Linked DNA regions of Arabidopsis thaliana. The protein of the gene in region 4 interacts with the protein of the main gene of each other region in a pairwise test. Each region holds a gene or a part of one and is shown on either strand. Other genes may lie near its edges. The genes, in order: BEL10, KNAT5, BLH3 and OFP2.

What was found.
Region 1: the proteins of OFP2 (region 4) and BEL10 interact in a two-hybrid assay, tested with the Arabidopsis thaliana proteins (one large-scale study listed by BioGRID).
Region 2: the proteins of OFP2 (region 4) and KNAT5 interact in a two-hybrid assay, tested with the Arabidopsis thaliana proteins (one large-scale study listed by BioGRID).
Region 3: the proteins of OFP2 (region 4) and BLH3 interact in a two-hybrid assay, tested with the Arabidopsis thaliana proteins (one large-scale study listed by BioGRID).

Annotation. Positions count from the first base shown.
Region 1 is NC_003070.9:6,807,995-6,816,243, forward strand, and holds BEL10 (BEL1-like homeodomain 10), read right to left. Parts: upstream 5,070-8,249; 5' UTR 4,849-5,069; intron 4,764-4,848; exon of another isoform or gene 4,210-4,763; intron 4,001-4,209; exon of another isoform or gene 3,934-4,000; 5' UTR 3,861-3,933; coding exon 3,117-3,860; intron 3,029-3,116; coding exon 2,643-3,028; intron 2,538-2,642; coding exon 2,477-2,537; intron 2,390-2,476; coding exon 1,964-2,389; 3' UTR 1,771-1,963; downstream 1-1,770. Other genes in the region: AT1G19690 (NAD(P)-binding Rossmann-fold superfamily protein), read right to left, coding at 1-198, 284-421, 504-638, 708-747, 838-916, 1,005-1,083, 1,164-1,256, 1,342-1,568; AT1G19710 (UDP-Glycosyltransferase superfamily protein), read left to right, coding at 6,926-7,193, 7,263-7,405, 7,490-7,761, 7,854-8,008, 8,121-8,249.
Region 2 is NC_003075.7:15,491,230-15,498,531, reverse strand, and holds KNAT5 (homeobox protein knotted-1-like 5), read right to left. Parts: upstream 4,544-7,302; 5' UTR 4,406-4,543; coding exon 3,863-4,405; intron 3,479-3,862; coding exon 3,358-3,478; intron 3,266-3,357; coding exon 3,066-3,265; intron 2,977-3,065; coding exon 2,845-2,976; intron 2,764-2,844; coding exon 2,624-2,763; coding exon of another isoform or gene 2,620-2,623; exon of another isoform or gene 2,539-2,619; coding exon 2,523-2,538; 3' UTR 2,151-2,522; downstream 1-2,150. Other genes in the region: AT4G32050 (neurochondrin family protein), read right to left, coding at 52-166, 310-403, 675-770, 873-976, 1,156-1,292, 1,429-1,579, 1,717-1,912; AT4G32030 (uncharacterized protein), read right to left, coding at 5,525-5,713, 5,817-5,885, 5,965-6,027, 6,123-6,179, 7,246-7,302.
Region 3 is NC_003070.9:28,297,737-28,305,680, reverse strand, and holds BLH3 (BEL1-like homeodomain 3), read left to right. Parts: upstream 1-2,952; 5' UTR 2,953-3,278; exon of another isoform or gene 3,279-3,730; 5' UTR 3,731-3,790; coding exon 3,791-4,528; intron 4,529-4,606; coding exon 4,607-4,983; intron 4,984-5,060; coding exon 5,061-5,121; coding exon of another isoform or gene 5,122-5,160; exon of another isoform or gene 5,161-5,187; coding exon 5,188-5,586; 3' UTR 5,587-5,895; downstream 5,896-7,944. Other genes in the region: AT1G75420 (UDP-Glycosyltransferase superfamily protein), read right to left, coding at 1-212; AT1G75400 (RING/U-box superfamily protein), read right to left, coding at 6,217-6,243, 6,331-7,302, 7,401-7,432, 7,736-7,944. UniProt on the Arabidopsis thaliana protein: Transcription factor that is responsive of the nuclear import of SHOOT MERISTEMLESS (STM).
Region 4 is NC_003071.7:12,954,216-12,960,692, forward strand, and holds OFP2 (ovate family protein 2), read left to right. Parts: upstream 1-2,229; 5' UTR 2,230-2,376; coding exon 2,377-3,339; 3' UTR 3,340-3,592; downstream 3,593-6,477. Other genes in the region: OFP17 (ovate family protein 17), read right to left, coding at 194-534, 622-868; KIS (tubulin folding cofactor A (KIESEL)), read left to right, coding at 5,597-5,749, 5,881-5,967, 6,236-6,337.

The DNA.
Region 1 (8,249 bases), on a different chromosome or scaffold from region 4:
ACTCCTAGTTTATCCTTCATGCGTTCGTTGCAGACTCGTTTCTCGCCTCTCAATGAACTTTCCTCCCGAGATTCATACAGAAATGGAAATGGTTTTGTGGTGATATTCCCCGGCCAACGTTTCTCGATCAACTCCAAGGCATATTCAAACACCTCTTCTCTTGCTGCCGGATCATCATCAACAATATTGTAGATCTCCCTGCCAAAATGGTTGATTCATCCGTCTCAATGGTTCAATCATCCATCACAAAAGAATGATCATAGATGAAGAGGGATACACAAACCCTGATGCTGGCTTTTCAGTGGCAGCTTTAAGAACTTGGCATATATCTTCAACATGAACTCTCGACGTGAATTTACGGGACGCTCTTCTCTTTTGACCTTCAGACAAACGCTCCTGCTTTAACAAGGTATCAATTGCACTGCAGCAAGAAACGTTCCTTTTGAGAATCAGTTTTAAAGCCTGTTTAAGCACTACATACACAATCAGAAGCTGTAAACAACCTTCGACCAGGTCCATAAATACCCCCAAGTCGAAGTATTTGAGTCGAAACCCCAAGATCACGACCCAAGCTTAACCATCCTTGTTCTGCAGCTAATCTCACTTTGGCTGACTGAGTTTTAGGATTTGGGAGATGACTGCAATATGAAGGAACGACCTTATCTATCATGAACAAAAGAGATGAAACTTGGAAGAAAGAAACTTACTTTTCATTGACCCACGCACCACCACAATCTCCATACACACCTGCAAGCATCAAAGAGAAGTATTGTAAGTTCCTGTCTACTGTGGAAGCAGAAGCATTGATGTAATGAGGAAAGTTAAAAAGGAAAATACTTGTTGATGAGAGATAACAAAGCCATCGAAGATTTCCACTCGAAAGCTTGTCTCTCACAAGTTCTACATTCCGCAACATCTTTTGGAAGTCATCACAGTTAAGACAGTGTTATCAAATAAGAAATCACATTAAGCTCTAATGATAAAAGCTGGAGAAGAAAGCAAACCGGATCACCAATGTCAGCTAAAGGAGGAATGGAAATGAGTAGATGAGTGTAATCTTTCACTGAATCTAGCAAGCTCCATCTGATTAACAAGCAAACAAAAGAGTTTAAGACTCAGATTTTAGAGATTACCATCATTGAAGATCTGATTAAAACAAATACTCAGGTGAGTCTGCAGAAAATGGATGAAGATTAATTCCTCTCTTTTCCCATTCTTTCTTCTTAGAATCACTCCTGCAAGTCCCTGAAACCACCCTAAACCTCCAAAATTGTTAACACCATCGGAGAAAGATGAAAATAGATAGATATAGAGATAAGGAGAGAAACTGAGATATCAGACCAGTCTGATTCTTTGAGCTGTTGCGCAAAAAAACCTCCGACGAATCCCATCCCGAGAATGAACATTTGGTTCGGCGATTCTGGATCTGGTGCACCGGATCGAGAATCGTCGGTTGCTGATAATGGCCGGAAAAAGTTGATTCTCCTACGATTTGAAAATTTAAGTGGTGTGGGAGTAAAACGGAAAGGAATCTCCGGTGACAAACTTGGTAACTGAAAAACCGCCATTGAAATCGGAGGACTGAGAGACTCCAAGGTCTGTTGTACTTTAACTGATTCACAGTACAAAGAAACTACGTGCCGTTTTGTTTTCAAAATCAAGGACTGCATTTCGTTTTTACAGTCCAGTGATATATACTATAAAGAATCGTGAAACATTTACCACAAAAGTCTCAAGTTCAGATTTTTTCACACTTGCAAGTATCCTTTATACCACCGTGAATATTATTATACACACATATCAATATTTGGCTTAAGAGTCTACTATACACAAAAGCAACCTACACATCTACTATATAATCCATAGAGAATGGGTGTATTATGCCTAATACTATAAAAATGCAAAAGCACATTTCTTGCGCTTCAAGAATCATCTCCTCTGTACCAAGAAGAACCAGATAATATCACACAACAAAGTCGTGTAAGTGATGGGAATTGGAGAATCTGCTTTCTTGCTGGTTGCTTCCGCTAATGTAACGGTAATCATCAACACCAAACCCGTGATAGTTCATCAGAGTGTCGTAATCCGATGAGCGGTTTATCTGTTGTTGCTGTGGGTCGTTATCATTGCCTAGAACACGATCTGGTTTGGTTTCTGATGAGAAGACAATGTTTGTTGTGTCTGCAGATGAATAAGCGAGGTTGCTGTTGTTGTTGTTCTCTTGCTGCTGCTGCTGCTGCGATGAGGAGTCTTCTTGGTTTGTGCTGTTGGGTTCTTGGGAAGATTTGGAGATTAGTAACTCAGATTCATCACCAAACTCTTCTTTATACATTTCTTCGATCATCGGTTTCCACAGACGAACTCTCGCGTTTATGAACCAATTAGCAACCTAATCATTTAGCAGAGAAACCAGAATTATTCAAGCAGAACACAAAGGGTGCAAATTTTAAGTGAAGACCAAAAGCTTGGTTTATACCTGGTTCTTTGACAATCCTGTCTGCTTTGCAAGCATGATTTTCTCAGATTCTTTCGGATATCTACAAATAAAAAAAACAGAAGAAAAACATAGAGTCTCTCTAAATGTTTTGTACTGGGAGATTGAAAGATTGTGACTTGTGACTTGTGAGAGAAGAAACACTTACGGATGAAGGAAATGTTCAAAGAGCCAAGCGCGAAGAACAGAGACAGAGTTTTCAGGAAGACCTCTTTGAGGTCTCCAAGCAGGTCGAACCATTCCAAGCTGTTGATGCAAAGCTCTTTGCTGTCTCAACCGTTGATCTAAATACCTCAACCTTGGTATCCTCTCTCCTTGTTGCTCATCCAACGACTCTCCTCCTTTCTCCCCAAGTTTTTCTCTAACAATCTGAATTTGTTCCTTTATTGCGTCGCGAAGAGCACGAAAATGGCGAGAGATTCTGTTGAGAGCAACTGATGTGTAAGGCTTAGCTGATCCAAGTCCTGCTACTATCTCAAATGATGAAGCTAATGCTTCCATTTGATGGTAATATTGGTTATATCTTTTATCTACCTGCAACCATTAACACATCCACAACAACCAAATCACCATCAATCCTGTTATAAACCAAAGGTAGTTTTATGAAATGTAAGTTAGTTACCTCATCAACCATTGTTAAAAGCTTGTTCTTCTTGTTCTGAAGCTCTTCACGTTCAATTGTAGATAACTCAATCGATTTCCCATTCGAATCACTCGATAACTCACCACCTCCTCCTTCTATCTCCTTAGAACCACTGTTAAAGTCATTAACTTTCATCTTCTTCTTCCCCATTTGGTTTAGTTCTTTCTTGACACTAACCACTTCATCAAGCAAATTCTGAGCAGGTTTAAGATACCGAGAACGCAGAACGCTGCTCATAAACCCTCCTGATGTCTCATTATACCGATAATTGTTGTAGAAGCCATTCCCACCATTACCAGCATAACCAGAGGAAGGATCAGATTGACCCAACAAGATCATTTCTTTGCTCTTCACACTCATCTCATCCACATGAAACGGTGACGTTTCCTTGACTGAAATTGAAGGATTCTGACTAGTAAACCCCAATTGGTATTGATGAAAGTGAAACGGAGCAACAGAGATCTGAGTACCAAGGCTCAAAGACAGTCCTTGACCATCGTGAAAGCTTAGATCGCTGCTTGAAACGGTACCGTTTCCTGTTACAACGTCTCCTGTGGTGGTTGGTGGGATAAAAACCATCTCGTTTCGAACAGTATCGCCGCCGGTGACGGTGAAAGAAGCGGCGGCGGATGAAGAAGAAGCTTGTTGGTTTTGTTGTTGATGGTTGAGAAAGATTGGTTCTTGCTGGTAACAACCGACATTACTTGTGTAATAAACTGCCATTGGTGTTTACACCTTTTAAAAGTTTTATTACAGTGAGTTCTTAGTTCGATGAGTTTGGTCGGGAAATGAGATCCTGCAAAAAAATAAGAGGAAGAAGAGTCGTGTAAGGTGTGGAATTTTAAAAATTTCTGATGGAATCTAAGAGAGGTTAAAACATCGTAATCATTTCACACCAAACCATTTTTTTTATATATCATACATAAACAGTTTCGAAAGCAACAAACAGAATCGGACCAAATTATTCGGAGGATTAAAGTCAAATTCTTGATAAAAAGCAAATGTTTTTCGTGAAGAACTGAAGAAACCCAGAAAAACCCAATACAGGAATTGTGTAATCGTAGAGGAATACCCGATCTATGGAGGTGAAATTGAGAGGAGAAAAAAACCCTAATTTGAGGTTGGAAAAAAAAATGCAGAGTAAAAAGAAATTGTGTAGCTCAACGTAGTGAGTCAAAAGCAGAGAAGATTCAATTATTACATAAAGAAGTAAAGTGTCTTGATGATTTCATCTCTTGTAGGAGAATTTCCAAAAAGCAAGGGAGAAAAAAAACACAGAAAGTATACAAAAAATAATAATCAAGAAACACAGTACAAGATTAATCATATCAAGAATCAAGAATCAAGAACTTGAATTTTTAAAAACTACCTGAGGGAGAGAATCAAAGTTAAAAGGAAGAAAAAAAACCTAGAGATTGTGTTTGTGAGTGTGGATGTGGCTGAATCAGGAAACACAAAAGCAGAAGAGTTTCGAACAGTTGAAGACAAAAAAAGATTTGAGACCCAATCCCGAGAGAGATAGAGAAAGAGGCGATTAATAATTGCAAAATTCTTAAATAAACAAATTTTTTTCAGTCCACAAGAACAATAAAACCAACCCAACTTATCATTGGGACATTAGACACCAACCCAATTTTTAAAAATATTATTATGCAATATCAACAATAAAATAAAATAATGATCACTACCGGAAAAATTTGACAACCGCTACCTGTAATTTTTAATTTTTTGCGGCAGAAGCTTCTGTTTCTGATGCTTAGAGTAAAGATAAATTAATATGATTTTTTTTGTGTGCCAACCATTCATAGAGAAACACGTGAGAGCTTACAAATCACCAATTTTCTTTTCTTGATTACGTGATAATATTTCTTATGACGACTTTAACATACAAAACTTAACAATTCCACACACACAAATAAATGGATTTTTATAGATGATTGTATTATACTTTAATGATGTTGTGTTGTCATTGACTTGAGACTCATACTACTTTTCCGTATAAGTTAACTAAATACAACCAAAAGAAAAAAGTTGAAGGAATGAGTGTTTATATATGAAAAGTTTAGTATTTGTATATTAAAAAAAAAAACCAAATCTAACTATTTAAACGAAATAATCTATAATGCGTACATTACCATGGTATCGTGGGAAACTTTTAACGACTTCCTGATTTGTGTACGTGAGGCTCCAAAATAGTGAAATTATTACCTGCCACAAATTATAGAGTCTAGATTTGGATTTCAAACTAAAATGTTTTTTTAAACTATTTGTTCTTATCACCTTGCTTTCATCATAAAGTTAAAGTTCGATACATTTTTAATAGAACTTCTTGAGCACTTTGTAGTTCAATATCTTTGAGGTTTTCTTTAAATGTTTGATATAACGGATATACTTTTAGTTATGCATGGTAGCGGAAATTAAACTCCATCAAATAAAACATAGAAACGTCATTATAGGTAGGAATATGAGATTACAAAACTGACCCTGATAAGCTGGTTTAAGGAAGAAGATAAAACAAAGGTGGGTGTGTGTCTGCTCAATTGCTTAATTGATGGATTAAATGACTTAACAACCAGTTGGTGAGTCCCTCCTTACTCTTCTGTTATACCCAATTTTTATTCTAAGTTCTCTTGTCTTTTTATTTCTTTTGTTATAAACCTTTTAGTTATACACTTACATGTTTGTATTTGCATATTCCACAATGAAGAATACGTAAAAGATTATCTTTATAGCTACACTAATAATATAATCCATTTCCTCTGATTTTTAAAATAACAAGTAGTTTCGTTTTGGTTTGTTGGAGATTGGATTTAGAGCAGCCGACACAAAATCATTTGGCAAGTACCATTGTGTTGGAAAATTATTATTCATGTGTTTTGAGTCTTTGAGAGATGATGATATTGACTTTTGTTTCCACGTGGATCTTGATTTATAATGATGATTAAAAATAAATTAATTAGGCAGTTAGCTGGTGAGAGATTGATTAAATCTACTAAAAATTTAGATTATTAATGATGTAATTATTTTTAAAACCGTATGGTTCTGTAAATCATATTTTAAAGTTGAGGATGAATCGATGATGCTAAACGAGGAAAATGTGTGTGAGTAAGAAATGAACAACCTTTGGTTTGGAGGAAAATGTTGAAGTATAATAATTCTTGCCAATTGTCAAATATATTAATTACATGGATATATCCGAAAAAAAACTTTATAATAAATAGCCACAAGTTATGGCCGTGTAACAAAAAGTAAAAGAATTTATTGCCACATACATTGTTGGACCATATATGAAGACGGATCATCACCACTAAAATTCATGTTTGTAACATTTATATTCTATGGATCGAAATCATTATGCTCTCCATTATTAGAACCAAACAAAACCAAACCAAAATTGTATCAGCAAAACTAATCTGAAGCCTAGCTTAGCTTAAGAAAAAAAAAGAATTAAAACCATATAGTATGCATTAACTATCATCATAACTAGTTTAGTTTTAGGCTTTTAGCAAATAGGCCTTTTAAAGCCCATTATAAATATGAAGAGAGGATTCCATCGGGGGCCTGCTGAGAAACGGCAATCAACTTCCTTCTAAATAACAAAAACGGCGTGAATTGCAAACTTCTGCAAAGAGTCAACACTGATTAGCGGCTTTTCCCCATTAAATCTCTCCTCTAAACTTCTTCGTTCCAAGCTTTCTCCATCACTGACGACAGATCCTTAGAAAGTTCTGAGATCGATTGTTACTGTGTAAACCCTAGGATGTGATTCTAAGCTGTAGAGAGAAACAATGGCGAAGCCATCAACGAGTATGTGGGCAACATTGCAGAAGAAGAGATGGCCACTGATGATTCTATTGGTTTTATCTGTATCAACAGTAGGAATGATTCTCGTGAGATCTACTTTTGATTCCTGTAGTGTTAGTGGAAAGAGATGTAGCCGAGAGAAGGAAGATAACAGTGACATTAAGATCCAATCGGTTTCTGGATCGTTGAATCCTCTCGAGTTCATGAAATCAAAGCTCGTTTTACTTGTTTCTCATGAACTCTCGCTCTCAGGTGATGTTTTGTGATCGTGTTACTCTCTTGTCAAAATCTCTATGGCTAAACTTGAAGTGATGATTTTAGGTGGACCTTTATTGTTAATGGAATTGGCGTTTTTGCTTAGAGGAGTTGAATCTGAAGTTGTTTGGATCACGAATCAGAAACCAGTTGAAGAAGATGAAGTGATCAAGGTTCTAGAACACAAGATGTTGGATCGAGGAGTCCAGGTTCAGATTTAGCTAACCACCTCCATTGTTTTTCTTTGATTCGTATCATAATTGTTAGTGATCAATCTTTTTTGAATCATTCAGGTGATATCAGCAAAGAGTCAGAAAGCTATAGATACAGCTCTCAAGTCTGATCTGGTTGTTTTAAACACTGCTGTTGCTGGGAAATGGCTTGATGCAGTTCTCAAGGACAATGTTCCTAAAGTTCTTCCTAAAGTACTCTGGTGGATTCATGAGATGAGAGGTCACTATTTCAAACCGGATTTAGTCAAGCACCTTCCGTTTGTTGCAGGTGCTATGATTGATTCGCACGCAACAGCTGAATACTGGAAGAACAGAACTCATGATCGCTTAGGGTCTGTTTCCTCTCTGTAGAGTCTTGCGATATATTAGTTTACGTTATTGTCATAAGCTTAACAGTGTTTATTCTTTTATTGTTGTAACACAGGATTAAAATGCCTAAAACTTATGTCGTGCACCTAGGAAATAGCAAGGAGTTGATGGAAGTAGCTGAAGATAGTTTCGCCAAGAATGTTCTCCGTGAGCAAGTTCGAGAATCTCTTGGAGTGAGGAATGAAGACATACTATTTGGCATTATTAATAGTTAGTCATTTCTTACATTCTTTCTCTTCCTTAGTTTCTTTAAGAATCATAATCTGCAAAAGACTCAAAATTTTGGTTAATTTGCTTTCTGACTGGTGCTTCTCTTATGCAGGTGTATCTCGAGGAAAGGGCCAAGATCTATTCCTCCGAGCGTTCCATGAAAGTCTTAAAGTAATCAAAGAGACTAAGAAACTTGAGGTACCAACAATGCATGCAGTGGTAGTAGGAAGCGATATGAGCG
Region 2 (7,302 bases), on a different chromosome or scaffold from region 4:
CTAGGAAAATGTAGGTTAAGTGAGAGTGTAATACAAAGATGTTGTATTTACCTATCAGCTGGAATATCAACATTGGGTAATTTTACCCCGCCGAGAAGCCACTTTTCACCCAATATTGACATCATATTCTCAGCCAGAATCAACGCATGAAGCTTTTCGGAAGGTGCTACACATGAACAAGACAGGTTTCTTAAGTATCTTGAGAGGATTGTTGTCATATAACAAGTAGATGAAATTCAGGGCTGGCAAGAAAAGAATGCCATTAATGGGTATGCCATTTCCAGTGTTCCAAACAAACTACTAACTTACCCACACGGTTCTGCAGAATTGCCACAACACCTGTGCGCATATAGTCTGCCCAATTGTTGTCGGGCATGGAACGAAGAGGTTCATGAAGAAGTTCCTAAGCATAACGAACTTCTATGAGAGACATATAAAAAGATAAGCACACAAAACAAAGATGTAGAGCTTCTACAATGGAAACATAACATGCATATTAAATAACATCAAGACGATGAAGGCAACTGTATTTCTCCAAGTAAAGGAAAATAAAACTTTAATTTTTCCAATTTCAATGGACAGAAATTTTGAAAATTTAGCTGCATTAAATCTACATAAATCATGCTAGTAACTATAGATACTTTTCCGGAGGAAGTTAAGAAGTGAAAACTCACAGAATACTCTGACGAGAAGACTGCAGACAGTAAATGGAGTGCTTCAAACTTCAGGGCATTATGCAACACCGCAAACTGCCGTGCAACAGCAGCAATCTGAATAAAAGTTAACATTATGTTTGGAGTCCAACTTCAGCATTGCAGCTTTAGTAAGTATTGCGAAAAGAAAACAAAAAGTAACCAAGTAAGTAGACTCACCACCAAAGACAGTTCTAAGAAGCGTTCAATAGTCATGCTCCCACAATCAAGCTTACTAACCAATAACTGCAGAATCTTTATAGCAACCTCCATGGCATGTGAACCTGAATAACATGTCTCACATTAGCTCCCAGTGAAAAACTATTATCAAATCCATCTACCTCAACATGGCACGTTTTCTTTGACACCAAATATAATCAATCCGAAATAGCATTCAATGGAATCTAATGTGCATCATATACACAACAAAAGAATGTAAACCCAATGAAAGAGTATGTATTACCATCAGGTAACTCAGACATCTGGGGAGCTATCACTCTCAAGCCTCCAGAGTTAATCAAAGTCATGAGACCAGCTTCACAAGCCGTGGACACCAAATACAGAAGCTCATAGCAATCTTCGAGCATGTTTGTAGTTATTCTGAAATTCCAAAAGCCAATTTCCTAACTTTAGGCAATCACAATATGCAAAAAGTTGAAGACACAGAAGCAAAGCTTGATTAAAAAAAAAACTTCATGGAAAGTCGCAAATGCAAGAATCAGGTGATCTAACATACCCTTTGGACATTACTTCGAGAATAAGGGGAATTCTGGAGACCATCTCTTCTGAAGAAGCTATCTCCGGAACACGGCAGAATGCAGCAAGAACAGTGATAGATATCTGCAGATACACATCACGATTATCAACCCCATCGCCACTGCCACTACCTGCAAAACAAAAAATCGAAACCAGTCAGAGCAACAAACTTTAGTATCTCAACTAAAAAATTCACACTTTGTAGAAACCCCAAAATTGATATTAGTATTTACTGAGACAAAGATCAATAATTCGGGGTTTTGATTACCAGTACGGAAAAGACGGTCGAGAAAGTGAGTACCAACGGCTTCGTAGACCTTGTTGAGAGAAACGATGTCATCGTTCTTACAGAATTTGGTGACGAGAAGTAGACCGGCGAGCCTCTGCTCGTCTCTCTCCCCTTTCAATAGCTTAAGGCAATCGTCAAGCGACGGAGATCGTTCCTCCTGTGGTGCTGCTGCCATAATCACCCAACTCAAAGAGTAACAAAAGTAGACCAAGTCGAGAGAAAGGTAAGCAAAAAAAACTAAAACAAAAGCCGTTCGTTGGAGAAGCTGAAGGAAGAAGAAACAAGTCATTAAGTCGGCATTCAGATTTTGGGCCAAATACCAATGGGCTTTGTTAATAATACAAGTGAAATCATTTAAAATTATCGATATATTAAAAATTGAACCATATAAAAACCGAGCCGAACGTAACCATGCATCAACCGGTGAGAGAAATCAGACGAACACAACAACATCGTAATACTACATTTCAAGCTAGTTTAATTATGATAAATATTGCTTGATACATTCATTACAAACGAACATATTGACACTTTACAAGAAAAAACCCACACTTGCTTAAGCGTTCGTTACAAGACGCAAACCAACGAAACAGATCACTTCCAAAAACTACTAAGTCGTTACAAACAACAATTTGGACTCCAGAATCCGGTTTCATAGGCTAACCGGTATCCACTATACAAATAACACACTCTGTACGAGCATAGAACCGGATTCGTTTCTTTCATATACGGTTCCCAAGAATTCACATGGCAAAGAACCATCCTCTAGTTAGCCGCTATGTCACCTACGACTTCCCGGTCCTGAGTTTGGTTACAAAAGAAGATCTTGACCGGGTTGGTTTAATGAAATTGCGCAATTTGAAAAAGAGAACGGATCTTGTTTTACCGTTTACGTTTGTTCTTGGTGAGAGTAGATGACGTGGAAGAGTTGCTGTTCCAGTTTCTTTTCCTCTGGTTGATGAACCAATTGTTGATCTGTTTCAACTGCAAACCGGTTTCTTGAACCAGTTTTGCCTTATCTTCCTCCTGCAATTCCAAAACCAAATCACGAATTAAAACCTTGCTTTTGACAATGTGGTAACAAAACTTCTCGGCCAAGGTGTTTACAGTTGGGTATGGCCATTTCGAGTGAGTTCGCCACCATTCTTTGAGTACAGAAGTCGTATCTCCTGGCAACTTTCCCGCCCTTCTCTTCCTCATTATCTCTTCTCTTATGTCCACAATCTTCTCTTTGAAACCCTACAGGGGAAAAAAGAAACCGAGCAACATGATTTAACAATGTGTTTTGTATAGTTTGATGTACCATTGCAGCTTGATCAAGCAATTACCTGTTTAAGCTCATGCTTCAGTTCTTTCTTCACACGTTCCATCAAAGATCTCTCTCTCTCGGTTGGAACAAGAGGACCAAACCCCATCAAGCAATCTGAACCGTCCAAACTTCCATCAAACATGTTCACCTCGCTCTCTACTTGATTATCATCTTCATCATCCGACATTGTCTTACCATTACTTTCACTTGGAGAAACTCCTACAAACCAGAACAAAGAAAAACCGATAAAACCAAGACACACATAAAGCAAGAAGACAATAACAAAAAAAAAAAATGATTTGGGACGTTACCAGTTAGGGATTGCAGTGATTGTTCAATCTCCCAACAAGCCGTAATGGCTTCCATTGCATGGACACAAACGTGGTGTTGGAGTTGTTCTTTAAATGAACATAACAAGACAACATAATGTGACTGCATCAACATAATAATCAAAGGTAAGATTCCAATCCATAAGACATACAAACAGAACGTTACAAAAAATAGATTATGCTTTCTTTCTCTTGGACATGCAAAGTCCTTTTCAGCAAGAATCAGACAAACTATTAGTCATCAAAGAAGAAGCTTTATGCAACAAATATAACTTATTTGAGTCAGACAAAGTTCATAATTCGAATTACAAGCTAACCAAAAAAGTAGAAGCAAAGATCATATCGATTGCAAGACTCGAGAAGCGGGAACAATGAGCCACACAAAAATGTGAATTTGCTATACTCAGATAATCAAAGAGAAATAAATGGCTGAATCGTTCACAGTTCAAAACATTAAAATTTTGCAAAATTAGAAAGTGAAACTTACCATGAAATGATCAAGTTCCTTGTTGTCAACAACCACACCAAGAGTGGAGTATTTCGCGGCGACGGTATGCAACTGACTGAGCTGAGCATCGATCCTCGGAATCTGGTCAACGGGAGTCGCAACCCTAAGGCAAGCCACGTGAGCCGCAAGAAGCTGCTCGTACATCGGATGTCTTAAAATCGCCGCCTTATAGCTAGCACTCCGCCAATCTTCACCTCCTACAACGCCGAGTATCGTTTCACCATCGGCGTTGACTCCGTCGATAACTTCAGAACGTACTTCTCCAGTATTTTGCATCTCCGAATGAAAGGAGAGCCAGCGTGGGTTTGTATCAGCAACGGAATTGTCTCCGTTGCGGTGCGGAGGAGCGAGATCGGAATCCGCAGTGGTAAGGGTGGTAGGGAGGTTGAGGAAACTGGCGGTGACAAGCGAAGGTGTTTCAGAGAAGTGACGCTGCGGCGGAGGTTGCTGTGATTGATCGGTGAAGTGTCGGAGAGGAAGGTCTTCTTGTGGAGGAAGGAGGTGGGAGCTGTTAAACGACATTGTTTTCCTGCGTTTTTGGGATCGGAGAAGAGAAGACTGTTTTCTCTTTCCCCTAGTTATTTATCTCTCTGAAGACCAATATTTTTTAATTAATCTTGAATTTTATATTTATATATATTTTTTTTTTTTTTGGACTCTACTTCAATCTCTTTGTTTTAATGTCAACATAAAGCCTGTAACCAAAATGAAGCATAAAATAACTCAACCTACAAGAGCCTGTAATTCTGTAATTCACAAGTTTTGTGAGCAATGATTTGCTTACAAAACTTCTGTTCTAGAGTGTAATTTTCTTCTTTAGGTCTTTATTCTCCAAATTATGATAAGTATATTTACCATTAAACTCATTGTAGATATTTTTAAAACCCAGATATTTTTTTCTTTTTTACATGAAGGAATGTCATTTTTTTTTAATCTCTATACACAAAAGACTTGGGATCCATGAAAAAGAAAATAAGCTCATAAACAAGTTGGCAATTTTTTCTCAAATTTATTGGGCATTTAAAAACGAATCTTTTTCCATGAACACGCCGACAACCCACCAATAGCATTACACCTCCCAAGTTTATATTATAAAAATTCAAATTAAATAGTAGAAAAATGAATGTCCAAAGAGATTGATAGATCTTCTTGTCTTGGATTAGTTGAGCGGAAACTAGGGTTTTAATATAATAATGTATGGAGAATAGTGAAGAAGAAAATGTTTGGAACATAAAAAGTCTATTAGTTGTCCTACTTTTTCCTCTTTACAATTTCCAACAAAAGCTTTTAAATCGGTACAAAGAGAAAGAAAGAAAAAAAAAAGTAGTTAATTTTGCATTAAAAATTGATAACACCATCTATTTAAAACAAATTTTTTCTTCTAACACATCAAATTAAAGAAAACAGAGAGGGAGGGAGGGAGGGAGTAAAAAGTAAAAACCTAATTTTCACCCTCTTCCTAAGAAAAAATCAAGAAGTAATTGAGCATTTTACCCCAAAAAAAGAAGGAAACGGAAAACCAGAATGTGACGGGAGAGTTTCATTACACCACTTATTACATTCACTTTTCTTAGTTGACATCTCTAGCTCCCTTCTTCCCTTCACTATAATTCGATCGCAAATCTTCATATAGGCCAGTTTTTAGCTAGTTCCGTACAATATCTCTTCCTCGGATGGCGCCATGTTGAGATCAGGGAGGACGAAGAAACTCCCCTGATTTTGCGAGTCACTGGTTTTGCAAGATTTTGATCCCTGTAGCCGCTCGAGTTGTGATTTACGAATCAAATCAACAGGTTTCTTGTTTGTGACACGGCCTGAGTTTAAGTCAAGCTGAAACAAGAAAACACAAGAGTCGATGAGACCAGCAAATAGAGAGAAGGGATCTGGAATATCTGATTACTGTAAAGATGGTTAGGGAGAATCTAAATGTTACCTTAATCCTCTTCAGCTTTTGGTTCCTAAGGTTTTGTTCATCGAATGTTGCTCGGAGACTTGCAATCTCCTGTGGAAAAATATTGGGTTTTTTTAAGAATACAATGAAAACCATGATAATAAAACAGAGAATAGCAACGAAAATCTACCTTTTCAAGGTCAAGTCTCTCCTTCAACTTCAAGTTCTCTTCATTTTTAAGCTCAAAAGATGACTGCCAAATATTAAAAGAATAAAAAACCATCAGCTCAATAAAATTTGAATTTTGGAGTGTGTACTTGAAATTCAAAAAGGAGACTTTATATTTACCTTCCTCTTCTTCAATCTCTTGGAGAAACAACTGGTGATTTCGTTTGTGGGAAAAACCTGCAAAACAAAAACGCATTTGATTAGTCAACTATTAAATGGCTGAAGATAACGACAACTGTTTTACTTTTATAATCAATACCCAAGATCTTATTTTAACATACCGGTAAAAAGTTTCTTTTCCCACAACAGAAATTTCAAACAAGTAAGAAAAATATATCGAAGAAACCAAATAGAGCATAAAATTAAAAAATCTCAAATATATAATTGGGAAAGAATTTTTATAGTGAGGATTTGATGCCACATCATGATTATTCCGTGTCATGGGCATTGTCATCTATCGTCATCACTCTTTTAAAGATCACGTGATACCAATCTCTCCGACAAGATCATTTTACTCGTTTCAACTTTCAACCCACAAAACGCTACCGTCTCGAGCATCAAAACGTTCAATAAAACGCGGACGCGTTTGACCAACTAGCTGTTAAGCTGTACTACCCCCAAAATCTAAAAGGAGCTTTAATTATTCCTCAAGACAAAATTAAAGTTGACCGATTTCTAAAAATCCACATCTAACCGGCCACGCAAGATCCGGTTCAATGCGTACCGAGAAAAACAGGTCTCTTATTAAGCTTTGTTACAGAAGATTAGTAGAGTTTTCTAATTACAAAAAATGAGCAGAAAACAAGGAAATTAAGCTTAAAGTGGCTTTGACTTTTTGGAGATTAGATGAATTTAACCTAGAAGCAGGATGGCTCCGGCCGACGGTGTCATCGGCGAATCACGGCGGAGGAATTTTTTCCGGTGAATTTGTTAGAAGTTGAAGAAAACAGACTAAATACGTTCTAGTGAGAATTGAAGCGTGCGAGAGATGACGTCAGGCTAAACTTTATGGATTTTAGGAAAAAAAATGAAGAAAAACAGAGAGACGGCCAAGGATCTTCTCAATTACGAACGGCTAAATCCAGATTTATCGGCCAGATCGGAATCGGATTATCCAGCGAGATGACGGATTTGCCATCTCTCCGGAGCTACCGGATTCGTAATTGAGAGAAAGAAGATAGAGAGAGAAGACTAAATCGAGAGGCAAAAGTTGAAAATCACGATAGGGAAAAGAGAAAGTTACCTTAGATCCAGATCCTGTAGATGTAGAGCAGCTAGCTTGGCGACTGTTATCCTCGAA
Region 3 (7,944 bases), on a different chromosome or scaffold from region 4:
AACAAAACGAGCTTCGATTTCATGAAATCTAGAGGATTCGATTGAAACTTCGCGGCGCTGCTTTCTCCATTCTTTTCTTCCACGAATTGGCTACTAATGCTACAGGTTTCAAAGCTAGATCTCACGAGAATCATACACACTGTTGATACAGATAGAAACAACAAAACCATCAGTGCCCATCTCTTCCTTTGCATCGTCGACGCTTTGACCATTGTTTTCCTTTGCTAAAGACACATCCTAAGGTTTTCAATAGTCTAGATCTTCGCAAATGACTCGTCGAAACTAAGCTAAAGATCTCAAAAATCAAACCTTTGAAAATCAAATTCGAGACGAGAATGGGCAAGAAATTGGATCTCTGAGTAGAACTGTAAAGTGAGTTATACTGAGAAGAACCTTGAAAGAAAATTTTGATCTTTAAAGGTTTCACAGTGCACGCCGTTATTGGAAGAACGTCTTGCCGTTTTTAATCCCTCTGGGCCACTTAAACCCGCATATTATTATGGGCTCTAAAAAGGCAATTATGTTCATTAACATAGAAACTCCAGTCTCCACTTTTAGTTTGTATCACGATTAATGAGGTTTAAGATACTAATGACTTTCACATCTCATGCACTGAAAATTTACTGTGTGCTACGTTATTTTATGTTTTGAAAATGTATTTTCACTGGTGGAATCAATCTTTATGGCAAGAACAACAATATTTCCCTTGTTAGTTTAAATACAAAATATTTATGATCATAAATTGTGGATCGTGCATATATAATTTCTCAAACGCTATACAGATAGAGACTTGAGTGTAACGCAAAACTCATATTAATCTGTGAACTGTAGTATTACTATTTACCTGGGAACATCTAATTAACCGTACCATAAACTCTTACTTTGTTGCCATTTACATGTAGTTTAACCAGATTGCTCTTGAAAATAGGAAAAACTCATGTGGTTAAACGGTCCGACTATTTATGATTAACAACTGCGATTAATTATATCTTAAGGATATTAATTATTATTAGCTGTCATACCATATAGCTAGGTGTACAAAAAGCTTTTTGTCCAAACAAAAGCTGTTGATTTCTTACTCGTCATTTCCTCATTTAGCACTATCATCATCACTCATCATCGATTCATCATCTTCTTCAAATTATATACTCACGATATGTATAATATTATTATTCATAAGAATACTCATCATAAATAGCTTTAGAAAACCACATTCATTTAACCTATTTTAGAAAGTTAAAAATATTTGATCCTTTCAAACTTTCCCACTGTATATACTCCCATATTCAACCAGCTGTGTGTAGGGTTTATCAGTTGTACATTTAAAAACAAACAAATAATCTACTCATAAATATATAAAATTTCATAAAAAAAGAATTTGTTGTAACACATTGATTCTCCTTGAAAGGTTTGTGTCGGCTGTTCCAATCTATGACAAAACCGAAACTCAACCAAAAACAAAAAAAAACATTAAAGAATAAAAGAAATAAACGAAATATACAGAAATTGAAATAAGAATAACATTTATTAAGATGGACACAAAGCCGTTAGCTTCGTTCCGTTAAGGAACGTCTCTACGAAACAAATTGGCGTCCAAGTCTTTCGTTTTTGGCCACTTTCACCAACTTCGCGTCCGACACAGCTACCTTATTTATTTCATTTTTCATCATCTTCTTTCGAATTCTACTTTTTCTATTATTTATTACACAACCTCCTTAGATCCTTTGGGACATGGAATCGACCCATCATAACTTTTCTTTTCATTTTATTGTTTTGCGTATAAATACATTTTCTTCATGTAGGTCAAATGAATCACTTGATTATTTAAGAAAATATGTTTATTTGTTAGTCAACTAATTGGATTTTTTCGTTCCAAGTAAGGAAATTGGGTAGTCACCAACTGGTTGTTAAGGTCCTTTAATCCCTCAATTAAGCAATTGAGCAGACACAACACTTCTTCCTCAAAGCAACATTTCTGGCAAATCAAAATTCTCTAGGCCTAGGGATACTTTAGTAATTTTAATTACTTTATATTCAATATATTGATTTGTTGACAATTCTACTTATATCTTTATTTTTAATATGTAAATAATAGGAAGATATTGAAAAAATGGAGTTAATTAGTTTCCTCTTTTGCACGTCACTTAATAAGAGTATGTGTGTCCAATGTATTACGCGAAGAAACAAGTATATAACGTATAAACAGTAGGAGACCTCAAAAGATGTTTAATTTTAATTTTGATCACAATCTTTTTAGAGAGTTCCGTCGTTATAATAATTTAACAATTATACATCAAAACATCATAGATTAGTTATGAAGTATCATGTCACGTAACACATGTTTCTCGTTCGCTTATAACCAGGGATCTGCAATTATGTAAAGAAATTAATAAAAGCATCTGTTGGTTCAGACTAACCCATGATTTTATCATCACAACCACAACTAATTTGAGATTGCTTGAGTTAATTTAATCTAACAAAGCTTTGGTGGAAAATTTTAATAGTAAAAAATTTCAACGGTTGCTTGAATTTATGTCCAAGCTATTAATTAAACTTTATAAAAACATAGAATACGAAAACTCAACTCTTTTCTTCATTTTAAAAAACATACTTTATTTTTAATTATATTTATTTGAATATAAGCACCAAGTCAAGTCAATGACAACACTGCACAGTATTCCTTCTGGTTCCAATAATATTCTTTTGTTTTATCAGATAACTTGAAATATAAATGCATATAAAAAGTCGCATTTGTATAAATATTCTCCATTATCTAACAATAATCCTATCAGAGAAAAGGAAAAAAAATATGAAAATTTCCGCTCACGCGTGTTATTCTCTAAATGGTTGGCACAGAAAAAAAACCAACAAAAAATTATTAATTTTAATATAGAAGCTTCGGTTGGAATAGAAAAACAAACAAAAAAGAATTACTGGTAGAGAATAGAGATTGTCAAATTTCTCCATAGGTTAGTGATACACTGATATTTTATTAAACATTAATTAAAAAATCTGGGTTTGTTGTCGAGGTTCCAATGATAAGATGGTTTGGTTCTGTTCTTTGTTAGTGAATGCCAAATAAAGTTTTAAAATAGTATCGGAATTTAATAAAAATCGTCTCTTGGGATTGGGTGTCTTCTCTTTCTTTCTCTCTCTTTTTGTCATCGACTGTTCGAAGTTCTTCTTCTTCTCCCTTTTTATCTCTCTGTTCCCTGATTCAGCCACATCCACAATCTCTCTTTCTCTTTTGTATAGTTTATCATCTAGCTCTTTCTCAGGTTTCATTTCTTTAACTATAATAATTCGATTGTTCTTATTAGTAGCTTCTTGATTCAAAGCTATATGATTGACTTGTTGTACTCTGTTTCTCTTTTTACAAAAAGATTTCCTTTTTCGAATTTTATCATCATCTTCGTCTCTGTTAAATTCTTACAAAAGTATGAAATCATCAGAACTTAAAAAAAATTAACTTTATATCTTTCATGATTTCAAACATCATCCTCTGTTTTTGTTTGCGTCACTGAATTGAAGTGGAAACTTTACCTAGGGTTTTGATATCTTCTTGACCTAAATTGAGTATTTCATATTTTTTTCATTTCTTGAATTCATCTGTAATTGCGGCGTATATAGAGATTAAGATGTTTTAACCTCTTTAAAGAATTGTTCTTTTATTTATCCAGTTTCAGTTTCAAACTCACACGTCTCTCTCTCTCTCTTTCTCTTTTTTCAGACAAAACATCAATCGGATGAAACTCACTTAAACAACAAAACACTTTCGATTTATTATCCAATGGCTGTGTATTACCCTAATAGTGTCGGCATGCAATCTCTTTACCAAGAATCCATTTACCTCAACGAACAACAACAACAACAACAACAAGCTTCTTCTTCCTCTGCTGCATCTTTCTCCGAGATTGTTTCCGGTGATGTTCGAAACAACGAGATGGTATTTATCCCACCAACAAGCGACGTAGCCGTCAACGGAAACGTAACGGTGTCAAGTAACGATCTAAGCTTTCACGGTGGAGGACTTTCTTTAAGTCTTGGTAATCAGATCCAGTCAGCTGTCTCTGTTTCTCCGTTTCAGTATCATTACCAGAATCTTTCGAACCAATTGAGTTACAATAATCTTAATCCTTCTACTATGTCTGATGAGAATGGGAAGAGCTTGAGTGTTCATCAGCATCACTCTGATCAAATTTTACCTTCCTCTGTTTACAACAACAATGGTAATAATGGTGTTGGATTCTACAACAATTACCGTTACGAGACATCAGGGTTTGTGAGTAGTGTACTGAGATCTCGTTACCTTAAACCAACACAACAATTGCTTGATGAAGTTGTTAGTGTAAGGAAAGATTTGAAATTGGGGAATAAGAAGATGAAGAATGATAAAGGTCAAGACTTTCACAATGGGTCTAGTGATAACATTACAGAAGATGATAAATCTCAATCGCAGGAGTTGTCTCCTTCAGAACGTCAGGAGCTACAGAGCAAGAAGAGCAAGCTTTTAACAATGGTGGATGAGGTAAGACTAAATCAAATTTGAATACTTTAAAGTGAGAGAGAGACTTTGGAGTTTTGAGTTTTGAAAACATTTTTGCAGGTAGATAAAAGGTATAACCAATACCATCATCAAATGGAAGCTTTAGCATCGTCTTTCGAGATGGTAACAGGTCTTGGAGCAGCTAAGCCTTACACATCCGTAGCTCTGAATAGAATCTCTCGCCATTTCCGCTGTTTACGCGACGCGATAAAAGAACAGATTCAGGTGATCAGAGGGAAGCTTGGGGAGAGAGAGACTTCTGATGAACAAGGAGAGAGGATACCGCGTCTTAGGTACTTAGATCAACGGTTGAGACAACAGAGAGCTTTGCATCAACAACTTGGAATGGTTAGACCAGCTTGGAGACCACAAAGAGGCTTACCTGAAAACTCTGTCTCTATACTTCGAGCTTGGCTCTTTGAGCATTTCCTTCATCCGTAAGTTTGTTGTTTGTAAGACACTTTCTTTCTGCTCCTCATTGCTTCATTGATAACCATTTCAATCGTTTTTGTAGATATCCTAAAGAATCAGAGAAAATCATGCTTTCAAAGCAGACAGGACTATCGAAAAACCAGGTTCTTATTGGCTCAATCTTTGGTCTTGCTTTTATATGAGTGGTATTCTGATTCTTGGCAATTTAGGTTGCAAATTGGTTTATTAACGCGAGAGTTCGACTATGGAAACCAATGATTGAAGAGATGTATAAAGAAGAGTTTGGAGAATCAGCAGAGTTACTCTCTAACTCTAATCAAGACACCAAAAAAATGCAGGAAACATCTCAGCTCAAACACGAAGACTCTTCGTCTTCGCAACAACAGAATCAGGGAAACAACAACAACAACATCCCATATACATCTGATGCAGAACAAAACCTAGTCTTTGCAGATCCTAAACCAGACCGTGCTACTACTGGAGATTACGACAGCTTGATGAACTATCATGGGTTTGGTATTGATGATTACAATCGTTACGTTGGCCTTGGAAACCAACAAGATGGCAGATATTCTAATCCCCATCAATTACACGACTTTGTTGTCTAAAAGATTCCTGAGCTTTTCACAAGCTTAAGAACTGGCAATGCCAGTTGATTGGGGGAGTATGATTCTTGAAGCGCAAGAAAATGCGCTCTTGGCATTTTTATAGATAGGGGTTATACAAATATGTATATCTGTAATATTTGTTGTGGCATATATAAAGGATAGATTTTGTGAAAACTTTAGGTGTTAGACTTTACATTTGTATATGAAAATTGAGCTTTGTGTACACTTTGGTAAGCCGATATTGTAATGTTTTTGTTTATAATCTTCATGATGGTATAAACAATACTTTTAAGTGTGAACAAACTGAAAAAGATTTGATCTAATTTCCTCATTTTGTTACAAGAATTGGAACAGATTTTGAGTTCCTCTGAAACTTGTGTAAACAACGAAACGTTACACAACTTTTTAAACATTCTCTGTAAATGGTTGGCAAATTCTCAAATCTTTTCTAAAATGACAAGTTTGTTTCATTACTGAAAATTATCCCCACAGGTTACAATGAAACACACAAAATATCCAAAAAGAAAGTTAAAACACAGCTCTAAAGGCTATAGCTGAACCTGAATATCTGTTTTATACAAAGCTTTCCTAAATAACCCGCATGCCTCTGATCCAGATGGAGGGGTTTCATCATAGCGGAGATGTCTGATTAAGTCCCTGAAATGTGTGTATTATTGGTTATTTACAGGAATGTTTCATTTCTCTAGCAAATCAGGATTGAATATTCAGTGTATGGATCTTTACCTCTATGCTTGAAGAAGACCGGTTATTTCGATGTCTAGACCAGAATCCCTTCTTCAATGCAGAGTCTTTGGACGAGGGTTTATTCCACTTGGAGCTGATAGAAGCAAAGTGCCATTTCAAGAATGACTTATTAGACGAGCTCTTGCTACTGCAACTAGCTTCCAGCTTGAGAGCTTTGCCTTCTCGTTTCCCCATTTTCTGGAATACAAACTCATCGCATTCACTCTCACCGTAACTATCTACCACACGGTTTTTACATCTTTTGTACTGCTTTGCCTTTGCTTCCGCCTCCGCTTTTAGGGCTTTCCTTGTTATTTTCGCAACCCGTTTCTCCCCAATTGTGCATATGGGACAAGCAGGATCATACTTCTCTATATCAGTAGTCATGGTCTCTAAGCACTCTGCGTGGTAAACATGACCACAGGCAAGAACAGCAGCGATTGGGAGCTCAAAAGTGGCTATAGAAGACCTCTCGGTTAGCAACTTTGAACAAGCTCCACAAACCTGCTGATCAACAACGGAAGGGGAGAATGAGAATCTGCTGCTACCACCACTTAGTTTCCGTCTGCCAGAACCCAAGTGTTCGCTATCAAAGGACCATCTATCCCTTTGAGAATATGCCACGAGCTCAGAAAAAGTGTTCATAGACCAGCCACCTTCAGAAGATGCGTACTGGGATCCAGTGGCGAAGTCATTGCTACAGGTCGAAAGCACAAAGGACGACCTTCCTTCTGAGATTGAGTAATTATTAATTGGGGATTTCAGTCCTAAAATTTGACTATCAGAAACCTGCCTAAACAACTGATGCCCAGGTGAACGCCGAGCCCGTCTTGATGGTGTGGATTTAGGAGGAAGCAAACGCGTGTGAGCCGATGAAAGATCACTAACTGGATTGGGAAGAGAAGGCGTGGAGAACAAAGGCTTCGATTGAGCTGAAGGGACAATTCCAGGTGAGTCAACTAAGTTCTTCACCTGAAACAATGAAGATCCAACAAGGGTTAAAGATACACCGAAGGAAAGAAAAGAAAGCTTCCACGAGAGGAACACTAGAGTCAAGTCGATCATCTCACCTCAATGAGATCACTGCTTGCCAAGGATGAACCTGCCGCACAGAAAAGCATAACATAAGACACAGCAGGAATACGATACGCAAGACTAATTCATTACAATAACATGGTTCTTGGTGACAAAAAGGAATATAGTCATTAACGTTCAACTTAAAAATCCCTATGTCAACTATATCTACTCAACACCGTGAAGAGATCATGAAAACTAGCAAGCTTTACTTATACACGTTGGTGGAACGAAAAGATTCAAGGAAAAAATTAAAACGACTCAAAGCAAAGAGTTAGATTACAGTCAGAATTAGCTCCCAATAGTGTCATTGTCTCAAAAAAAGAATTACCTGAAGAAGGTGGAACCATGGAATTGGTGCTCATTTCCGGAGTTGCTGATTTCTGAGAAGCAGGAGTCCCTAAATGTCCATCAGGAGGGGTTCCTCCTTCAGATAAAGTTCCTCTCTCAGAGCCTAATGACATCTTATCCATACTAATACCTCTACTCGCAACATAAGGACTGTAATAAGGTGAACCCTCAATCTCATCAGCCACTCGC
Region 4 (6,477 bases):
TTTGGTAAGTAAATCCGGTTGAACCGGTCCGACCGGTATTGACCGAAACATACAATCTTTTATAGTCTTCACACATTGTTCCCAACTTTAAACTTAGAAACCTTAGATGTTGTATTCAATAATTGTCAAACCACAAGTACTGACAGATACAGATTTAAAACATTTTTGTTTTGATCAATTTAACTAGATCTGTTCATTCACCTGAAAACAAGTCTCTACAGAGTTCTCCATAAAATCTTGAGACAAGTTCAATGAAGACAGGACTCTTAAGATTCTTCCAACAGAAGAGAAGTTCCTCTATGTCCATTAAGTCATCTATTTTCCCTTCTTCAACAATCAGATGAATCAGATAGTTTTCAAAGCTTCTACAAGCATCTTCCACAGCATTGTCTTCAAATGTATCTCTTGCGTTCAGCGATTTCCTGGTCCGTGAAGAGTAAGGTGTCGTGATGGGTGAAGTGAAGAGCTTCTTGGCTGTTGCTGGCGTAAGAGGTGATTGCATAAACTTGGAGTAATCATCATCGTTCACACTAACTGCAATGGCAAAATAAGAGAACAAAGAGATCAAGAAGCTGATAAAATTTCAATGTTAAAACAGATTTTGTAGCGAAGTTGTCTTACAAGAGGAACTTCTATGTTTGGCGTTGCTCATCTTATGGTTCTTGCTTGAATTGAGGAAACAGAGACAAGAACAGATTGGCTTCTTGGAATGATGATGTTGATGTCTAGGTTTGACATTGCCATGACGGGCACGAAGAGGTCTAATAAAGACAGGTCTTTTAACTCGGAAGCGGAAGAGAGAGACAAATCTGTTGCATGATTTCGAAAGCTTTGATTTGAAGTTAATCAAAGTTGCTTTCACTCTCATTGTCTTGAAGCTTTTTTGGTGATGATGTTGTTGTTGTGATCCTCTTTGGCTTCTTGTTTTGTTTTGGTGTGTATAAGGTTAGAGGATTGGCTTGTGTTGCGTGGAGTTCACGTCTTTGGGTGTGAAACTGATCATGATGGTGGAGTCCCATGAAGTTTTTAAAAACAATGGAGAATAGAAAAGGTTTTCTTATTGCAAATGTTTGGTGGCTCTTGCTTATAAACAAAATCCAATATGATGAGATAGTTTTGTTTTTGTATACTCAAAAAGTCGTTGATATATTGGTAGGTCAACATTGTTGAACATAAACCAGTCCCACGTCTAGTGAAAATATCTCCATTTTTTAAATATGAATAATCACTTGTGCTTATTTAAAGTAAGGATGGAAAATGTTTTATTTTGATTTTTGAATATCATTTTTTTCCTTCTCGAAGTTAAAAGATAAGTAGTTGCCAAAACATTTGATCTGGAAAGTGGAAATGTATAGAAGAAGAAAAAAAGTGTCCTCAAAATGTTCGGCGTTAGTGGACAAAGTAGACCAAAAAATTTCTCATATTCATTATTATGACTCAAAAGTTGATCCCACTTTATTCAGAGGAGAAAATGGAACATATTTGATTATCTTAATTTCATCATTTGTGTATCTGTATCACCTTAATATAACATAAAGTGCTACTATACTAAATTATTTCTACCTAAAAACTTAAGATAAGGTTCACACTTTACCAAATTCAAAGAAGCATCGAAATGAAACTATTGAACTTCATTATAACGTGTACTTTGAGTCTTTAACCTAGATAGATTCACATATGTTAAACTTTTAGTTGAATTGTGAAAACTTTGTTTTTATTTATTAAATTGATTTGTCCGTTTAGAAACGTTTTAATATTTTCAATCAAAAAGCATACTTCGAGGAAAAGAAGCTGTATTTTTCTTTTGTAATTGCCATTTGGTCAACCTTTTTGTGTATTCTTTAAAACTGTTTACATTTGCTACTGTTTTATAATTCGCTAATTACATTTTTCAGTTATTTTATCATTTCGATGAAGAGTAAAATCTCCATGAAATGATGATAGAAATCTGTCAGAAATCAGAAGCAACTGATTCTCTGTTTTATAATTATTTTTGTACTATTCCCTTAATTATATAATATTTTAGATAAAAGTTATGTTCTTATGATTTTCAGTTTTTCACCAAATACAATTTCAATTAGTCAACCAATTTTAAAAATTCACCATAAAATAAATTTATTAATTATGTGAGCACAAGCGTGTAAATGTGATGTCTCAAGTTGATGTTGATGATGAATGATGATGATACTAATAAAAGACATTCTTTAAGCTTTTTCTAGTAGTAGCCCCACTAGTTTCCAATTTTAATCTTCAGTTTCTTCTTTATCTGTCACATAGAGAACTTTGCTTTCTCACCTTCTTCTTTATCTAAGGAAACAAAAACAGAGTTTTCTTAAGAGAAATATCACAAACTTTTGTGAAAAAGAGAGAGACAAGATGGGGAATTACAAGTTCAGAATTTCAGAGATGCTCCCAAATGCATGGTTCCACAAGCTCAAAGACGTGACTAAACACTCTAAACCCAAAAACAAAGCTTCTTCTTCTTCCTCAAACACTTGTAGCAAGAAGAAACCTTCCTCAGATTCTCTTCCTCAACACTCTTATTTCTCCAACAGCTTAGTAGCTAACAATCCTCCTCACCATAACTCACCAAGAAACTCTCTTCACACAAAAAAGATGAGTAAAAGAAAGACACTTTACAAGCCATCCCTTAAACCTTTGACTCCTCCTCCTCTTCTTGTATCTGCAAGTTTCAACAAGAGCAAGATCAACGATCAAGATTCGTCTTACAGCTTGTTCCCGGCTATTGAAACCTCCCCTGAGTCTTTTGTGTATAGTTTCTACGAAGAGGATGATGATGATGAGTTCGTTGAATTTTCCAACTTCAAGATCAACACAAAGAACAAAGCTTTCACCAAGCAGAAGGTCAAAGTGATTGATTCGGTAGAGAAAGCTTGTACTGCAAGCAAGCCGATTAAGAAACCGCAGAAAAGCCATCTTTCTGTGAAAATTTCAAGAGATGAAGATGATAATGAATATAAAGCCGAGAAGAAGTACCAAAGGCAAGTTTCTAGTGGAAGAAAACCATCTGCTGGGATAAACCTCAAAAGAGTGAATTCACCTAGAATTCAACTCTCAGGTACTCGTAGAAGCACTTCTAGAAGATCAGAGAGCAAACAAGATGTTCTAGAGAGCTTCGCTGTGATGAAGCGGTCCGTTGATCCAAAGAAAGATTTCAGGGAATCAATGATTGAGATGATAGAAGAGAACAACATCAGAGCTTCGAAAGACTTGGAAGACCTTCTTGCTTGCTACCTTACTTTGAATCCAAAGGAGTATCATGATCTTATCATCCATGTTTTCGAACAAATCTGGCTTCAACTTACAAAAACAAAGTAAAGAAAAAAATAATTCTTAATGTAATAGTAGTTAACCTAATGGTGAAAGTAATTAGTATCATTCTGCTTGTGAAATTGTAGTTGTTGACTTGTTGTTGATGTTCATAAGAAGTTAGATGGAACTGTGGAGATTCTCTCTTTGAATCCCACTTTTTATGTATTGTTTTCTTTATTTATCTTTTTGGAAAATGTAAGCAAATAATAAAAGTTGTTATCATATTGTCGTTTTAATACAAACATGATCACTAAGGGCGTGAAAACACTGTTAATTAAGACAGATTTTTTTATCACTAATTAAACATATTCTTGTCTTCTCTATGATTATGAACATATAAAACTACTCACAAAAGATGATGCTTCAAGATTTGATTATTTCTTAGAATATGAAGATGGATTAATTGCGCCAATATCATTTGAATATTTTGAAAATACAAAGTTGAAAATGGCGGTAAACAGCAACAAGAAAAAGACAACAGTGAAGAGACATGAACAATTTGAAAACGCAACAAGTACGGAGTTTATATATATGCATGAAGAACATTGGATAATCGTTGAAGGTAGAGAGAGGACCACTGACACATAAAACTGAGATGTGATTAAAGAAGAAAGAAACAGTGATGAGATTTAATCCTTAAGGGTTTTTTTTTTTCTGTGAAGAAGGGAAGAATGAACTCATGAAGAAGAAGAAGAGGACCACTGTTGCAAATTCCATCCCCTACCACAGTTGGCTTATGAAGTTTCAGCAAAAGACATGTGATATGGTATGGTTTCTGACTTCTGAGTGAACATAAGCAACAAATATTCAAATCAATGGGCCTAAATGATCTTGCAGTTTTGGATTATAAAGTTAAGAATTAAAAAGAATAGGTGATATATGTATCATAATTTTAAGTTTTAAACAAGTATGTCAGACAAAATTCTACATTCTAATTTTATACATAGATATGAGATAACCTCATAACCATAAACTACACCAAATTTTCATGAACAAAATATGATTCACACGAACTTTTTTCTATCTTGATCACCTAGCTAACTTGACAAATTAGTTGTTCGTCTAAAACTACACAAACATTCAAAGTTCGTTTTAAATTCAATATATTTAAAAATAACAGTTAAAGTTTTATTAAATGGCATTCCAAATATTGATTCCTTCTAGAAAATTTGTGTGGTTTTAAATTGTGAAATTTGGATCTAGAAAAAATAGCAAGTGTGGTTTCTTGTGACCTATGGTTGTTAGTGTAGTTGTATACCATTTTTTAAAGTTACATTGTAATTTGTAAACCATTTTTGTGTGGTTGACAAAAAAAAAACCTATGACAAAATTGCTCCGTTTTTATTTTCAATAACAAATTATAATGTAAATTAATATGTATCATAGTGTTTTTAATAAAAATATTTAAAATTAGGATTGATTGTTCTGAAAAAAATAACGCAACTAATACTTTGTTAGCAAATACTAACGTTTACGTACCAAAAAAGCATTATGTAAATCCATTCATCCATCATTGTATACTTGACTTTCTACATTATTCTTTTGTTGTATCAAATTTAAAATTAATGAATGAACTTGACATAATAAAACACAAAATATATACTTAAATTGTACGATATAAAAGTTTGATTTACATATTTTATATCTATAAAAAAGGGTAAATAAATGAAATAAAACTTTTTTTTTTTTTTTTGTCAAAGAAATGAAATAAAACTCAAATTACATTTTTATGTCGTAATGCGAGCACACAAGTGAGTGCATATCCAGTATTAAGTTTTTTTTTTAATAATTCAGAATTGAAAGCAAAGGAAAAAGAAGAAATCGAAATCGGAAACTGTATATTGTTGTTCTTCGATTCCTCCTCGCTCTACGCCGCGTCCTCTCTCTCAAATTCATCGGAAGCAACCTTCTTCTCCCATCATCGCCTGGTTCGTTTCTAAACCCTACTTCTTCTATTTCACAGTATATCTTCCTTTAATTTTCAATCGAATCTAGCTTTGTGTCGATCTCAATGTAGATCGGAATCAAGTAAAAGAAATCGATGAATTCCAAAATGTTCCCGATCTATTGCAATGCACGAATCGTAGAATTATCACCTACATTAGTCTTGATCTAATCGCCCTATTTCAATTTCAAATTCGACATCGAAGTTTAAAGGAGATCGCAAAACCTAGTTATAGAATCGTTGCGTTTGAGTTGTTTCGCTGGTGATGTAGAAACCCTAATTTTGGTTGTCCTGTGTTTGGTACTTGCTCAGAATCCAATGGCAACGATAAGGAACTTGAAGATAAAAACATCAACATGTAAAAGGATTGTGAAAGAGCTTCACTCTTATGAGAAAGAAGTTGAGAGAGAAGCGGCTAAGACTGCTGATATGAAGGACAAAGGTGCTGATCCCTACGACCTTAAACAACAGGTACAGATTTCATTGTTTATCTCTCTGTATTCGAAGATTCGGAGCCCGTCTTTGTTCGTCAGAATCTAGAAATGCTGTGTTGTGCTGTGTTTAGACTTGGTTTTTCCTAATCTGTGTATGTGGTGATGCAGGAAAATGTGTTGGGTGAGTCTAGGATGATGATTCCGGATTGCCACAAACGTCTCGAGTCTGCATTGGCTGACCTCAAGTCCACTTTGGTAAACTACATTTTCCATTGTTATTGCTTGCTAAGCGTCGGTCTAGCTTTATGTATTAGTTTATAAGAAACGCTGAGCGGTGATTTGAAGTTTAAGAGCAGTAGTACATTATCAAACTATAACTTTTATATGTATCTATAGCGATTGGATTAATCCCCTGCATGAAACCATCTTAGTCTCTCTTTGAGGAAAAATGATGAATAAGGACACAGAGGAAACTGTGAATTCGTACTCTGTCTTTTGTCTCTAATGAAAACTGAATTTGCAGGCGGAATTGGAAGAGACGGATGAGAAGGAAGGTCCAGAGATCGAAGATGCAAAGAAGACAGTCGCGGATGTGGAGAAGCAGTTTCCCACTGAAGATGCCTGATTTAGCCAGCGATGAGTGTTAAATCTGTATTCTGAGAATGGTTAATCATCTGTAAGAATCTTTATATCTAAGGTTGCTTGTCGACTGTATACACTAAAAATATCTTTCTTTAACATTTTGGTGATTGTTCTTTCATTCAA